Linked DNA regions of Drosophila melanogaster. The protein of the gene in region 1 purifies or fractionates together with the protein of each later gene. This does not show direct contact. Each region holds a gene or a part of one and is shown on either strand. Other genes may lie near its edges.

The links.
Region 2: the proteins of kek1 (region 1) and kek5 purify together in Drosophila melanogaster (affinity purification with western blotting; one study listed by BioGRID). This does not show direct contact.

Annotation. Positions count from the first base shown.
Region 1 is NT_033779.5:12,815,634-12,825,610, reverse strand, and holds kek1 (kekkon 1), read left to right. Parts: upstream 1-2,823; 5' UTR 2,824-3,950; coding exon 3,951-6,593; 3' UTR 6,594-8,611; downstream 8,612-9,977.
Region 2 is NC_004354.4:19,350,715-19,357,823, reverse strand, and holds the start of kek5 (kekkon 5), read right to left. Parts: upstream 4,644-7,109; 5' UTR 4,171-4,643; intron 1-4,170.

The sequences.
Region 1 (9,977 bases):
TTTCTTGCCAACTTCCGTTGCGGCCAAAAGTCATTTGCATAGTGGCCGAGTTCTACTTTCGCCAACCCAAGCAAAAGATCGTCAAAGACGGTCGAGCGTGGCCAAAACCGAAGGGAAGGTGGGGAAAAGGGGCTGGGAAAAAGGAAGTCAAATATTTTAATGCGGAGAAAACAATAATTTTATTATAACGAGTTTGCTTCGAAGGCAGTTTTTAGTTTTCATATTAAAATACTACGTGTGTTACCAATTATTAAATATTATAAATCCATGAAGCAATTATAGAAGGTGAAAATGTAAACCTTCAATATGATTTCGAGGAAAATAGTTTGTATAGCTCCTCTCTGTTTTGTCTTAATTTATTTACCAAGCCTTTACCAGCTATTTAAAGCAAACTTTAGGCACAACATAAATTATTTCACTTCCAGAGTAACGTGGCCAAAATGCTTGACATAAAATGCCCAAACATGAGAAGATCTTTCCACTTAATAATTCAAGCGAATAAAGTTCCAACTTTCAACCCAATCTGCTTAGTTCTGGGTACCTGAAGTCAACTCAGAGATACTCATGCATGACTGCCCAACAATTCAACGAAAATTCGACAGCAAAAACGGAAAAAGAAGACAAAAAACCGAAACACGCAAGAGAAGATTTCACTTTTTGGAGCTTAGACAAACGAACGAAGCAGTGGAAAATACGAGAAAATAATACACAGCAATCATAACTGACCTTAATCAATGTCTGCAATGTTGAGCTTTCAGTTGTTTTCGTTGAGTGGGTGGGAAAATGGAAATGTATCTTTTCGGAAAATGTATCTTGGAGTGTAACAAGCATATGCAATCGCGTTTTTTCTCGGCCGAAAGAGGACAAACAACAAGGCAAGTAGTTCTGTTTTTTTTTTTTTTTTTTTTTTGTCTTTTTTTCCCCATGCCTGCGCGCTTGCTGGCTGTAAACAAGTTTGCTGCGAAAACTTCTCAGGCAATCTGAATCTGTACCTGAATCTCGACGGAGGCAGCTGGTAGATGGTAGATGGTTTGCTATGGCACATCTCGGCTGCAGTTTCATTCATATGGAATAGAGAGACAGGTTGGGAAGGGAGTGGGGCAAAACAGGTAACACTGAGAGCGTTTCCTGTCTGGCCAAAAGACACGAGAGGTATCATGTAGCTGCCCCGAGTCTTCCGCAGGTGAAGTAACTTATACGCAATTTCTGGCTCCACTTCAAGCTCAACTTCTGGCCCCTCGGGCTAATTAGTTTGAGCTCTTCTCATTCCCATTCCCATTCCCAATCCCAGTCCCAGTCCCATTCCCAGTGTTGACTATGGTTCGGGTACTGGTTTGAGTTCTGGTTCTGGAGCATCATTAAACTAAGCGGAGATAGTTTTTTGCGACCGGATCGGTCGACATGAGAGCTCTTTCACTATGCAAACCGATCTTGAATGAACGAGCCGGCCATAAAATCATCACATTGTGAAATTTGTGCACAGTGTGCACTGCACACCATGCAGCTCCAGCCAATTCATTCAGTTTAGCTTCAGTATCTCGTATCTGGCGGAAGTGACTCATTCGGTCAAGACTGAAATTACGCCGCACTCGACTGGCAAAGCCAGGCAAAGAAAAGACAAGCGAAGCGAAGTCGCCTTTTTTCAGCTACTCATTCGTCTTGCCGGCTGCAAGCTTAGCAGTTCTTTTTGTTGTTTAGCACTGAAAAAATGTATGGTAAACTGTGATTTCAACTCACAACTTTTAAATTAAGTCAATGGAATATTCAAGCATGAAAAGACATATATATATTGTTACAAATGTGTAATAAATGTGGTATGTATGATATTATAATACAAACTAAAATTTATAATACATTTATTAAATTATTTATTTATTTAAAATAAGCGAAACCTATTTTTACGAATATGATGGAAGGAACTTGAAGTATCATTAATTTTAGCAAGTTGCTATTATTTTCTTTTCGTGTACTGCTTTCTTTTAATTTGACTTCTTTTTTGGGTCTGTTTTTGTTTTTGATTGACTGTAGGTGCGGAGGTGAAGCGGGGGCCTCGATGAATGGGAATAAGGAATGGGAATGGCGAGTTAGGAACACCCAAAGTACATTCAAACACTGTAAACAGACTCCACAAATTTGTAAAACATTTTCAAGACGTGTTAGTTAGTCGGAAAGGTATCTTCTTTGGGAAAATAAAGAATTTCGAAAGCTGATTAGAATTCTATATGGTGGTAAATTAATGTTATTTATGACTTAGCTGTCAAAATGCTTAAAAACAAAAAAACAATTGCATTTCCAAGTATTTTAAGCTCGACGAGGCCACAATATAAATTGTGTTCTTGGCGGATAAGAGTTGGGCCTTTGTACGTTTAATCAAAGTCTGCATTCTTCATAAATTTTCTACTTCAAGGAATTCCTTATTATTACCGCAACCACAGCTAATATTATTATAAAGTACAACAAAACAGGTCGGGCCAATTAAATGCGATTTAATGATGTCATGCGATCGGCCCACGGATGTTTATTTATACCGCATAAATCCTTGTTTATACTGCGCGAAGCCAATTCGAGATTTTTACAACGGAGGCGTGTGTAATATAATCCTTTCAACCGATTCGGCAGTCCCCACATGTTGCATGCGAATGTTGCGAAACGGTTGCGGCAACACACGACCATTCTCTCTGTCTGCTTTCTCCGTTTTGTCCGCTCGCGAGCCGAGCGGCAGAAGAGCAACCGAAGTTACTTCGGCGGCGGCCGAGTGGCAAAGCGACTGCGGAGGCTTTGATTGAAATCGAAGAAGCTCAGTTCAGTTCAAGTCGATGTACGCTGCCGAGCGGTTGCGTCGTTCCCGCTGTAGCTGTCGCTGTCGTTGTGTGTGTAAGAGTGCCGCTGGAGTGTGTGTCTGTGTGTGAGAGTACCGCTAGCCAGGACACACCGTTATTTTGTGCAGTGAAAACAATTGCCAGTGTGTGCAATGGCAATGGGCACAATCAATGCCTAGATCACAACTCATCGCGCCGCCCTCGCTCCAAAAATCCAATTCAAACACCATCCCCTTTCGCGTGGACCGAGGTTCGCTCGTAGCGCAAACGAAAACGAAACCGAAAACGACGAAAAAACGCGATGCGAATTAAAGCTTTGCGTGGCAAAATGTGCTAACCGAAGCAACAAAACAAACCAACCATTAAAAAAAAAAGAAATAAGAAAATATACATACATATTATATATACACATGTATGAGCAGCACGTGAAGAGGAAAAAATCCAGAATAGCTGAAGGAAAATTGCGTAGAAAAAGAATAATAGAAAAAACAGCCAGGGAAATACGAATTTCGTTGGCCGAAAAATAAAAACGATTATCATCCAAACGAGTGTGCCAGTGTGTGTGTGTGTGCGAGTGAGAGAGCGCGCGTGTGTGTGCGGGAGCTAGCCCTATAAATAACATTGGGTCTGGGCGAGCGCTAATTACGGCAAAACATGAAAATCTTGGCGAAAACCGCAGCAACAACAAGTGAAGCCAAGGCGGCAATTAATCAATTTTCCGCTTGACCCATAAGGAAGTTTCCATATCATAATTAAAAGAGGGGCGCAGAAAAACGAAGGATACAATCGCACGAAAGTAAGAGCAAAAGGTCAACCCAACGAAACATATCCTTGAGTTACGCAAAAAGTAATGCAAAATCTATATAAATTTAAACGAGAACTGGAAACGTTTCCATATCAACACAGGACACATCAACTAGTTTAAATCAGAAACTAACTCAGATAAAAGAATAAAATATCATAAACAAATTAAAAAACTTACAAAAAGACCGATGTATTCGTGTGAAAATCGTTAACTCATCATATCATAACTAAAACAACTGAAACCCCCATGATATTGCTAATCGCAAATAAACACTGGGCTTTGGCCTAGAACGCTCAACTAGAAGACTTAAAGAAAAATCCAGGAAAATGCATATCAGGGAAGCAGTTTTCCTGGTCCTCACCCTGCTGCCTGGAATGATCCTGGGCACTCGCTACAATCAGCTGCATCTGTATGCCAATGGAGGAGCATCGTCATCGGGCCCTGGAGGCTACAGGCCCGCCCCCTCGTCCCAGAACGAGGTGTACTCCATAGCGGACAGCCAGCCGATGACTGAGGATGGCTACATGCCCCCCAGCCAGCACTTTCCGCCCACCCACTCCGACTTGGATCCCCCCGCCCAGCAGCAGAGCACCTGCCAAACGGTTTGCGCCTGCAAGTGGAAGGGTGGCAAGCAGACGGTGGAGTGCATCGATCGCCACCTCATCCAGATACCCGAGCACATCGATCCCAATACCCAGGTGCTGGACATGTCCGGTAATAAGCTGCAGACCCTCTCCAACGAGCAGTTCATCCGTGCGAATCTGCTAAATCTGCAGAAGCTGTATTTGAGGAACTGCAAGATCGGCGAAATCGAGCGGGAGACCTTCAAGGGACTGACCAATCTGGTGGAGTTGGATCTGTCACATAATCTGCTGGTTACCGTGCCCAGTTTGGCCCTGGGCCACATACCCTCACTGCGCGAACTCACCCTGGCCTCCAATCACATACACAAAATCGAGAGCCAGGCCTTCGGGAACACACCATCGCTGCACAAATTGGATCTGTCGCATTGCGATATTCAGACCATTTCCGCCCAGGCATTTGGTGGCCTCCAAGGATTGACGTTGCTCCGATTGAATGGCAATAAACTGAGCGAGCTTTTGCCCAAGACAATTGAGACCCTGAGTCGTCTTCATGGCATCGAACTGCACGACAATCCCTGGCTCTGTGATTGTCGATTGAGGGACACGAAGCTCTGGCTGATGAAGAGGAACATACCCTATCCGGTGGCACCGGTTTGCTCGGGTGGCCCCGAAAGGATTATCGATCGCAGCTTTGCGGATCTGCATGTGGATGAGTTTGCCTGCCGACCGGAGATGTTGCCCATATCGCATTATGTGGAGGCGGCCATGGGCGAGAATGCCTCGATTACATGTCGAGCTCGAGCGGTTCCAGCTGCGAATATCAACTGGTACTGGAACGGACGGCTGCTGGCCAACAATTCCGCCTTCACCGCGTACCAGAGGATACACATGTTGGAGCAGGTGGAAGGTGGATTCGAAAAGCGATCCAAACTGGTGCTGACCAACGCACAGGAAACGGATTCCAGTGAGTTCTACTGCGTGGCCGAGAATCGAGCTGGGATGGCCGAGGCCAACTTCACCCTGCACGTGAGCATGAGAGCTGCGGGCATGGCCTCCCTGGGTAGTGGCCAAATTGTGGGTCTGAGTGCCGCCCTGGTTGCTCTGATTGTGTTTGCCCTTGGGGTTATCATGTGCCTGCTCCTGAGGGTAAAACGGCAGCCGTATGTCGATAGCAAGACGCCCAATCACATGGAGGTGATAACATCTGTTAACCACCAGAACTCCATAACAAACAAGACGCAGCCCGCAACGGGAAATGGCAGTATTGGCGGCGTGGTCATCGCCAATGGAGCTGTGGCCAACATAATCGATGGCGGAGTGGTGCAGGGAGGAACTCTGGAGCGGAAAAGCAGCGGACGGGGAGGTGTACCGCATGGAGTTCACGATCAGCGCAGTGCAAATCCCGTGCAGAAACCGCCGAGGCTAACAGATCTTCCGTACTCTACGCAGGGCTATGACAACAACGGAAGTGTCCTGTCCACTGCCTCCTGTTTCATCTCGCCCAGTGGATCCACCGGAAACGGTGGCAACAATCCTGATCTCATTAATGATACCAAACGTTTTGGGAGCGACGAGTTTGCGGATCTGAAGATACCACCCATCAGTGGTGTTGGAGTCGGCGGCAGTGGGGAGTATAGTCGCGCCAACGGCTGCGATTCCCTGTATCCTTCGGGTCTGTGGGAACATGGTGCTCCAGTGGGCACCACATCCGCGGATGACCTCTTCATGAAGCGCTACACCGACAAGACGCCCATCATAGACTCCACACAGCTGTACGACCTTCATGAGCGAACGGCGGCCACGGATTATTTTAGCAAGACATTCCCGAGATCTCACCTCCAGCAGGGCATGATGACGGGTGGCGGTGGAGGAACCTCGACGGCGTCGACGGTAACCACTAATTTGTCGGGTGGCTCCTCATCGGGTTACCCCAACGATTATGGTCTGCCTCTGGTGCCGGGGGCAGAGCACCAGCACAACCACCAGCTGCAGATGCATCCACTGCAGCAGCTCCAGCAGCAGCTGACCTCCACGCTGAACCATCAGAAGCAGGAGGGCAGCTCCACCGGGAGCAGTCCGCACTTCAGTAGCCGCACACTGCCACGCCTGCACGAGGGCAGTGGCGGGGGCGGCAGTTCACGGTCGTCGCCGACGCCAGCGGTTAGCGGTGGCCATGCCAACCAGGCGGCAAATCCCAGCACCTCCAGTTCCTCCTGCTCCATCCTGCCCAACGGGCAGCCAATTAACGCCAAGACGATACGGGTGTGGCAAAAGGGCGGTGTGCCCGTCCTGCCACCCGTGACGGCGCTGAAAAGGGCCCTGATCAGCAGCAGCCGGAATTCGCCGGACGAGGGATACCAGGAAGGATGCGGCACGGATGTGTAAGCGCAGCGCTTCTCGGCGGAAGGAACGGCGAGGAAACCAAACCAAGAACTGACTAAACTTAACACAACTAAACAAGAGATATAAAAATAATAAAAAAAAAAAAAACAAATAAGGTGTAGCGACGGATGGGAGGTAGCTCTTTTAGGTATAACACTGATAGATAGCTCCGGGGTCCTAGGCGAGCAGCGATTATTGTGCAAGCGAACTGTTTGTGATAGTGTCTGACAAAAAGATAATGCGAATGAAGATAATAATTGCCCAAAGCAAAGAGAAAGCTAAAACGAAATCAACTGCACTACACTAAAGTATACTTGGCAAGTAACTCAACTAACTAAACTAAACTAAACTAATTGTAAACTTAAACTAATTTAAAATAGGATATGTACAGCATTCTTTCTTTGAATAACATGACAAACTCTCAACTCCCCGCATAACGTAAAAATAACCCAAAAATACATATATGGAAAACCAACCATGTGAATGTAACTAAATCTATAAATATGAATATATATACACATATATATGAATATGTATGTGACTATGTGTGTGCATGTGTGTGTGTAATTTCTTCGTTGTTCGGTTAGAAAAAAAAAAGGAAAAAGGAACCCAAAACCAATAAGCCCTTCCTCCAAGAGTTATTATCATAAATCAGACACCGAAAATCCCAACTTGTGGCTCAACATTTGTATAATATACGTTCACATGCATGGTAAAACTGCCGAAGAAGTTATATAAATCTTGGTAACTGTATATATTAGATAACCCATAGACAAAGGAAAACCAATTCTTGATCCGACTATTGTTGAAACCATTCTATTTCCCGATAGAAGCTGTGAAATATTGTTAAGCTAAGTCGGACTATAAGTCTTACCAAAGGGGTAGCAGTAAAGAAGTTTTTGGAACTATTATTATCTAACATTCTATTTATATACGAGATAATTTAAAATTGTTATATAATTGCCAATTGTATTAAATTCTTTTTTTGTTACTTTTGTCTCCAGTATCAACATGATTTTGTCATCCATTCTAATTTGCATCTATTTTATTTTATTATTGCATTTGCAAAAATGTAATCGTAATCAAATTAAGTTCGCTTTCTCTAAAACGTTATTTGCTGTGCACTATTTACCCTAAAACGTTATTTACTGCTACCAAAAGTTTAAGAAACAAATTTTGAAAAACCAATACCACATGTTTTTAAATTTCCCACTAAATCAATCAGAATGCAAACTCGGGGGGATGAAATTTAAGAAAATAAAAACTGTGGGCAGTCAAAAAACAAATATGAAAACCAATCGGAGAAAATTCAAATTGAAGACAGAGAAAAATATTTGACGAATGCATACGTAATATAACATATGTAAATTGTACTCAAAGTGCACACACACACACACATACATACACACACACGCTCACTAACACATCACAGGCAAAAGAAACACATAGACAGATACGTGTACATGTAGATGTATGTCAGTTTGTCCTTGTAACGATTTAAAGCGTATCCACAAGATATTAATTGCCCGTATGTGCTAAGACTTAGAATTTAAGCAGACAACAAAAACCAGAAGGAAACACAAACAAAATAATATTTTTAAGGTAAACCAAAGACTTTTTTCTTTGCATCTAAATGAGCGCAGGAGTCTTCAAAGGACTCGTAGGCACACACACACACACAAACACAGATACAGAACACACACACAGCCGAAAGTAATCTTAAACGAGAAAAAAAAGAGCAAGAAAAAACCGTAGCATTTAAGTTGAACTTATGTATTATGTATTGTATAATATAAACCTACGTATAGTATATAGTCTATAGATGTGTACACTTATCAACAGAGCGGCATAGCTAACAAGCGATGGAAAGGGAGGAAGAGAAAGTCGAGAGCGGGAGGGAGAAAGAAGATAGCCCGCAGACAAAAGGCGGGCATTGAATGCATGAAAGCAACTGAATGAACAACAAAGCAAAAAGGAAATATATATAACATTATATATATCTATATATAAACGAAAAACATAAACCATTGTCATTATTTTTTACCACCAAGATTTCAGCCAAAGGTAGGTATGCTATGCTCGGCTAGCCGGGCAGAGGGGGCAGTGGTGGGGCTCGCAGGTCACCTGGGGATGACATGACCCAATTAGTTGGCCATTCGAATGCTGTCCGAAGATGGGGCTAAAGCCAAAGCTGGCCATGCTGCGCTTCCCATGTTATTCGCTGCTGCGCTTTGGCATATTAGGGCCAATCGTCTAATCGCCAATTATGCATTTCAACCTCAAACCCAACCTAAAACCCCACCCCAAAAACCCAACCTCATACACACACACGCAGACAAGCTAAAAGTGTGGCTTGAATCGATATGGCTAATCGGGGGAGGCCAAAATCATGTCCGTGAACGAGGCATATGGAATACCCTCAGAAGCTTAAAACTGAGTCAAGGAATAATAATGGAACTTATTTGTTAGTTGGCATATTTACAAAAAAATATACCTTAAAAGTAACATTTTTAAGTGCTTTATCAATTTTTGAAATAATTTAATGAACATTGCATAATAAAATTCCAAAATATAGCTAGATTCTAACTAAGCACCGTTTCAAAATTTTAATTTACAAACTCACTACTCGAGTAGTGTATAAATCAAATGCCGTCCATTTCAGTGTTTCTCCTTTCAAATTCCCACTATCTTTAATCCCTGAACTTGTGCGGAGCGGACTAGTTTTAGTCAGACATTTTCCATGGCAAATTGGAGATGCCTTTTTGGGCGACCTCTACTCCATCAATATGCACCCTGCGACCCAGTGGCCTCTTCACCAAAGCGTGTACCTACATTTGTGGATGAGTTGCCTCCGGTGAGGAGGTGTTGTGGGCGGGAGTTGTTAGGCAGCGCGTAATATATACGGCGGCCCAGTGCCAGATTATATCATGGCGTGCGGCCATGCCAAACTGTCTGGGCTCAACCGCCCGCCACCCCGAAGCTCCAGACCCCGCGCATCTGCGGATATGGCCACCAAGCCTTATTGACGACGCGCAAAGTTTGCCAACTAAACAAGTTTTGTGCCTCAAATGAAATTTAGGTTGCAACTGAAGCCCAACAAAAGCCAAACAAAACACAGGCCAACAGGCGAATGGAAAGCGGAGGGGGGTTGGGAAAAAATTAGAACTTTTCTGCGCCGAAGGAAAGTGTATTTTATTTGTTCAACTTTATTACGTATACGTGCCGTTGTGCCGCCTGTGCAAATAACCAAAAATGCAAAACGTGGGCCCGGCTATCTGCTCCGCCAATTCGGCCCGGCAATTGCCATTCCCCACCAGGTGATCTCTAATGAAGCCTCCGACATTGTGGCATCGTCAGGTGCTCGTCGCACTTTTATGTTGCATACAT
Region 2 (7,109 bases), on another chromosome or scaffold:
CCTTTAAAATTTGTTTTTTTCGTTTGCCCACTCTTAAAACTAAATAATTTCGATTGCCCACCTTTTAAAACTAAATAATTTCGTTTGCCCATCCTTTAAAATTCATTTTTAACGTTTGCCCACCCTTTAAAAATAAATTATTTCGTTTGCCCACCCTTTGTAAACTGTAAATTACAAGATTGGCAATCGGAACCAATTTTTGGTCTATATAAACCCAGAAACACCTGTGCGTCTGCACGTGTTATGTAGGCAGATCCTAAAACTAGGAAAGTGGCACGTGTTTATATGGTGGGCAATAGAATTTATTTATTCTTAAGATTTTAGGATGGGCAAACGAAATTATTTAGTTTTAAAAGGTGGGCAATCGAAATTATTTAGTTTTAAGAGTGGGCAAACGAAAAAAACTAATAATAATGGTTGGGCAAACCTTTTTTGTTGATAATATTTGGTTTTAAGAGATGGGCAAACGATTTACTCTCTGATTAGACCGAGGTAAACTTAAAAGCCTTATATTTTCTAAAGTATACATTTTTTCAAAATTCTAAAGGGTGGGCAAACGTGGGCAAACGATGTTATTGCGATTTAAAAAAAAAAATTTTGAAAAAAGCGAAATTTTTGATTTTCGAAAATTTTCGAACTTTTTCGAAAATTCATATCTCAAAAACTGGACGTGGGCAAAAAAAACTAATTGGTGGGCAAACATGGGCAAAAAATGGGCAAACGATTCCAGCTTTCAAATTTCAAAAATTCGATTTTTCCGACCCCAGCTTCTTTGAGCTTTCAAGAACACCAATATGAAACAAATACAAAAATAAAATACCAATAGTAGAGTTCGATAGACTCCAATGATAATTTGAAAGCATCCCGTTATGGCCATTCCAAGACTCTTTGTCATTGCGCTGGGAAACCCTCAGGCATTTTACGAGGAGCACTTGGTGGTGGTTGGGTGGTGTTATCCATCTTCTGCAGTGGAACACAGTGACTTGGCCTCAAGTCCAGTAAAGTCGAAAACGTTTTCGATATTCAGCTCAACATTGGGAGCTTATGTGTGAAATGTGTGTGTGAAATGCCTTGGTTCGCATCTATGTATGTACACATGCCACAAGACTGCTGATGCATCGTTTATCACCACTTTTTTGTTTGGTGACTTCCCATATCCCAAGTTGACATACGACCAATTCCAATTTCAAATCAATGACCTCAAGTGTACCCTCTACTCGTTTGATAATTTTCGTTTGCTGTTGTTATTTTCCCTGTGTTGTTTACGAATATTTAGATAACGTCTTTTTCGAGTGCCGTCGGTGGAAAAAATGCGGTGACAATTACAAGCGTGCGATGTTTAAACAATTTCCGACTCCGGCATTCGGGTCATTGTCTTGATAAAAGAAAAAAAAAATCGAGCTCTATCAAAAGCTTACCAGTTCCCCCAAGCCAATTGTACTTTAAAATGTTGAGGTAGTTTTAATGAACTTCGAATTCGTCGCTTCTGCAGTCGACTGACTGACAGTCCAACCACAAAATTGCCACAGGCATACAGCCAAAAAATTCAGCTTAAGCCAGACGCAAATCGCACTGAAAACTTCGTCTCGTCTCGTCTTGTCAACAAATTGAAGGTAAATCTCTTCAAGTACTTTTTGCTTAACGTTATTTATGATTTTTCTAAAATCCTTATTCAGGCTTTCCTTGGATAATCTTTAATTACACTTACTTGGGTTGAATGTAATATTACAGATGTGAGATGTTCAAAGCCATAGAAAAGAAAATCCCTTTCATGTGCTTATTTGGTTTTTAATTGTAAATCTTATTTATTGCAGAACGTTTTTTACAACATTTTATCTATAAGATTGACGACTAATCTATGCTATGTATGTATGTACATATGGCTTCAAGTGCTTGTTTATAAATGTCTCACATGTTCCTTTTAGTATCATTTCGATTAATGGTTCATGTAGAAAATAAAAAAAAAAACAATACTTAAGTGAATTTTGTTTAATAATTGCTTTCAATCAAATACATACATACACATTTCTAATTGGTCTTGATCGTTTTTGTGGCAACTGTACATATTGTATGGGTACCAAATTTGTTGTTTCTGTTTGATCCAAGTGTTTTGTGAGACAAAAATTAAGTGTAGATTTCTGCACCGCTTTTCTATGTTACTCAGTAGAAAGAGTAGGGAATATTTGTCTTTTGAAGTGGAAAATCTATTTTCGTCATGAGGAAATCATAATAGTCGTACGCATCCCTAAATCGAAAAATTCCATTTCTGTCATATTTAATTTGGCTTGTAGTAAAAAGGCGCCCCAAAATTAGATCCATAATCATATTATACCATTTAATACCCATAAAAATTTAGGGTAGTAAACATAAATTTTGACTACAGATTTTATATTTTCCGTAAATAACGCGCACTATTTTAATTTATAGCATTTCTAGGATAGTATACATATGTATAAACTCCATTTCCGTCAAAAGATTGATGAAACCAGATGAAGCATTCCTCAAAGCGAATGCATACACTGCATACACATCAAAAATGTTTGGGCGTGGGTATATCCTCCAATTGTTTCCCAACAACTCTTATTGGCACTTTTTCTTGTGGTCTTAATTTCTGGGCCGCAATATTCGCATCTTTGCTAATCCCTTTGTTTGTTTTTAGCTTTCCCGATTTCCCCTGTCCTCCTGCTACATTTTCGCTCCTTTCGCCTGCAGTTCTTATTCGTCCCAAGGATAAATTCATGAAAACAAAAAGTGCTCCGCCAAAAACACCAACTCACACACACACACACACACACACGCACCTACATACCTACCAATAATACCAAGGTAATAGCACCCGCAGAAACACACGCACACTTCGACAGTACCACTGGCGGCTAACTGTACTGCATGGACAAACACACAAAAAAGCGAACAAGAAAGTAAGCCGAAACTTACATACCCTTGCAGTAATAATACAAAACACCTGTATACCGAGCAATACTTCATGATTAAGAACCGATGATTATTTTATCACTTTCAGTTAATTTTCTTATTTTTCCTATGACAGCTATGTACATGATGCAATAGCTATAAAACTGAGACTTTTTTTTATGGAAATGGACAGACAAACGGACAGGTGGACCGTTAATTAGACTCTAAATACTGATCATGATATTCCGATATACCGAATTTAATGTGCCATCTGCAAGGGTATATAACCTGAAATAAGAACAGAGAAAAAGTTAAGTTTCTCTTCTGTTCGCTGTCTTCTAATTTCTGTTCGTGCTTTTGTTCTTCCCTTACTGGTTTGTTTTGTTTTGTTTTGTTCTGCGTTTGTTTGTTTGTTTTTCTTTCTTTCTTAATTTTTGGCAACGTCAATTACACGCGAAACTTCTTGCCTGAGTGCTTAACCCTTGGCAGGGCGCGCAGGTAGTGAGCGCTCTCGTATTAACCCTACAGCGCTCACGCACACACGCGTGAAATATGCAGAATATATGGTTGCAAATTAAATATCATATTGCATATTAGCCACCAATTTGCAACGGGATCAGTGTATTCTGGCTAAACGAATTAAGTTAGTTCAGTGGGGAAAACAGCGATCTCCGTGCGGATGGTTCGTTACTTCAGTTTTTGGGGGTTAATGGCTTTTAAACTGCAGACTGCACTTTACGTACATACGTACATATATACCTAAATATATATGTTTATATATACATATGTAATATGTATGTTTTCTTCATTTCTTTGCCTTTCCCTTATTTTCCTGCCTTCGGAAACGCAAATGATGCAGTTTGTTTGATTCATTTGACATTACAATTGCTGCAGCTGCACGTTGTTGTTCTCGTTTTGTTGTTGCTGCTGCTTCTGGCGATGCTGCATTTTGCTTCAGTTTCAGTTTTTCATGTTTTTCCAAGCACAAACCACGCTGCAGTCGCTGCTGTTGTCGTTGTTGTTGTTGTTATCATTGCTGCTTCTGTTGTTTTGCAGGTAAGTCGAAGATGAGTGTTGAACCGGTTCAACGGGTACACACGACTACCATTGAAAGAAGCCACATACGTACATGAAGACAGACACACACACTCTCACACACGGGCAGCACTTACACTCTCCCTCCCGCTCGCTCGCTCTATCTCTCCCACTCGCACTCTATGCACTTATTTTAACTCTTTATCTCTCCACTCTCTTTACCACGCTTTGTGTTGATCCGCTCTCCGCTCCGTTATTTACTCCACGGCGTGACTTTTCCAAATATAATCACCTTTTGGCTTTAGCTGCTTGTGAGGGGGTTGAAGTGGTGTGTGGGTGGGGGGGGCTTGTTGTTGTTTTCGTTTAAGGGGTATCACTTGCAAGTAACCGAAAAAAAAGTGTGAGTAATGCACTCCGGGACAGCCGCAACAGCCGCGTGTTTGGCGGCGTTCGAAAAAAAAAGCAAACACACACACACTAGCCGCCACTCAACTCAAGTGAACTCCACGCGACGCGAGGCGAGTCGAGACGACTTTTCGTGTTTCGTTAACCGCGACTGTCCATTCAATTGGCGGCAACAACTGACTGCTTCGCGCACTCGAGTACGTACATATGTGTATGTGGGTGGGCGATGCGCTCGACGTTTCACTCTAGCAACAACCTACGCGACCGGCGTTTGCAACAACACTGCGACGCACATCTGTTCGAGAGCAGGCCGCTCGAGCCGCATCGAACCGAGTCGCAGCGAACCGAACCGAACTAAGCCGAGCCGTCATGCAACATGTTCGACTGGAACGTCAGCTGAGGGGTTGCAACAGCAACAAAGCACTGAAACAAAACGTGTGTAACGAATTATAAAATCAAATTTACGGCGATTTTTCACTTAATGAATGTATACAAAAACAAAAAAAATTAAAATCAATAATTTTTTTTCAATAAAAAAAAATAATTTTAGTTATCACCATAATCAAATCAAACAAAACCATGGTACGAAAGTCGTGACAATTTTACCCTTAACGATTCTGATGCCAATGAAATGTGTTTTTTTTTTTTTGTCTTATTGTACAGCTAGGATGTTGAGATTAAGCATACATGTTCTATACATAAACATAGACGCAGAGCCAGTTTGTTGACCCATTTTGCCACGCCCACTCTAACGCTCACAAGCCGCCAAAAACTACCCAAGCAATTTTTAAATAGTTTCTTATTTCATTCCCCAATAATATCTACCTAAGAAAAATGTTAAAATTTCGCGTTCGCATTTCCATTAGCCAAGTAACCGATATACTCGACTATAGATTCTCCCTTCTCAAGAACAGAGCTCAGTACAAAATATATACATATGTATTCAAAAAATCAGTTGAACACAAAATAAGAATTTCAGCTCCATCGCGAACGTTAGAAACTGAATGAATTCATCAGCCAGTTGACAGAAGTTTGATTTTAAGACCTCTGATCGTCGAACAAAATGGAAAGGAGCTGCTGCTTGGTAGTGCAATTCATTTTAAAATTTCAGCGGCTAGCATCATTAATTACGTCACCGGCGAAAAAAGAAGGAAAGTGAAGCGTTCTCTGTGCCCCTGAATAACTGCGAAGAATTAAGTACGTCAGTAAGGGGAGAGCATACACGCGCCCATGTGTGGAGCCAGCCAGATACACTGCGAGAAACGAGTGGCAATTCCAATCCAATACATAAATATGTAAGGTTCCCTTTACATAAAATTAAATAGTAAGGTATCATGGGAAACCAGTACACATTGATAATAGCATAAGAGCAATGGCATTATTACTACATTTCAATGAAAGATACTTTAAATTGCTTAATTTTGGAAGTTTTCGATGTTTGTTATTATGCCTTAATATTAATATAGCTTTATTTCCTATTTATTTATAAGAGATACCAGAAAGTGAAGCTAATTTTTTATTAGACCTGAAGATTTAAGAGGCATACGCAGCGCAAGTTAGTTGTCAAGTAATGTTGGCACCTCCACTTTAACGCCCACAAATCGCTCAAATCTGCCACGCCTACACTTCTTGAAAATGTTTTGAAATGTAAAAGTCGACAACTAATTATGGACACCCTAATTTTAAATTTGGTTAATTTGATTTCTAATTAAAAAAATTTAAACAAGCAAAGTAAATCTTTTACAGAAAAAATACTGGTTTTTTTATTTATTTAAAAAACGCATCTTTTGTTATAGGGAAATAGAAGTGTTGGCGAGCAATCGATTTTTTCGCCAATTGATTGTGTAAGTTTTAAAATAAAAGATGTATATTTTTTTGATTTGAAATGCAGAAACTAAATGAAATGCTGCTCGATCATGATAGGTTACAATTGGTATTGCAGCATTTTGAAATGTACAGTAGACTAAACACAGATGGACGCCAAATTAATTATGACAAATTATGCTATAAACTGGGCACATAAGCACCAAATCAAGCTAGGATCATAAAAATAGAACACACATTTCATGAGAACAAGGTAACCATCTTCTATGTTCGTTTTATTTAATATTCTTTTATATCCTTCCTATCTAGGACTTACATATATTTTCATTTGGTGAGTAAACATTTCAACAACTGCGAACATATAAAACACAAGAATAACACACTCCACTTACAATATTTTACGTTTTCTCTATTTTAGTTGGTTAAATGTTTAAAATTGTTTTGTTTTTTGCTTTTATTTAAAGATCGACTCTATTCAGGCATAATAACTTATATAGTTTTAGAGAATATTCAATGAATATTTCCTCCAAAAGGAAAAAGACATTGACACCAATGATGTGGAATCTTCTATTCTGTATCTTCTATTCTGTATCTGTATCTGTAAATGAAGAACTAAAACCATATGAAAATATGAACATCTTGCTGAAGGAGCAGCTGACTCAGTTGAGTTGGTGAGCTAGCTTTAGATTTTAGATTGATTAATGAACATGAACTTTAACAATAAGTTGCTCTTAATGGCGACTCCGATGAACCCAAACGGAGGACTCCTTGAAGCGCACCATCAGCCAGGTGGCGTTGCAGGCGACGGAGGAGGAGCCAACTAAAGTGACTGGTGACTAAAGTAGCCAGGCTCATCACCATTTCCAGCTGGCCCTGCAGTTGGATGTGCTAGTTGGATGCAGGTTTCCCCATTTCGGTCGACTTCGGTCACT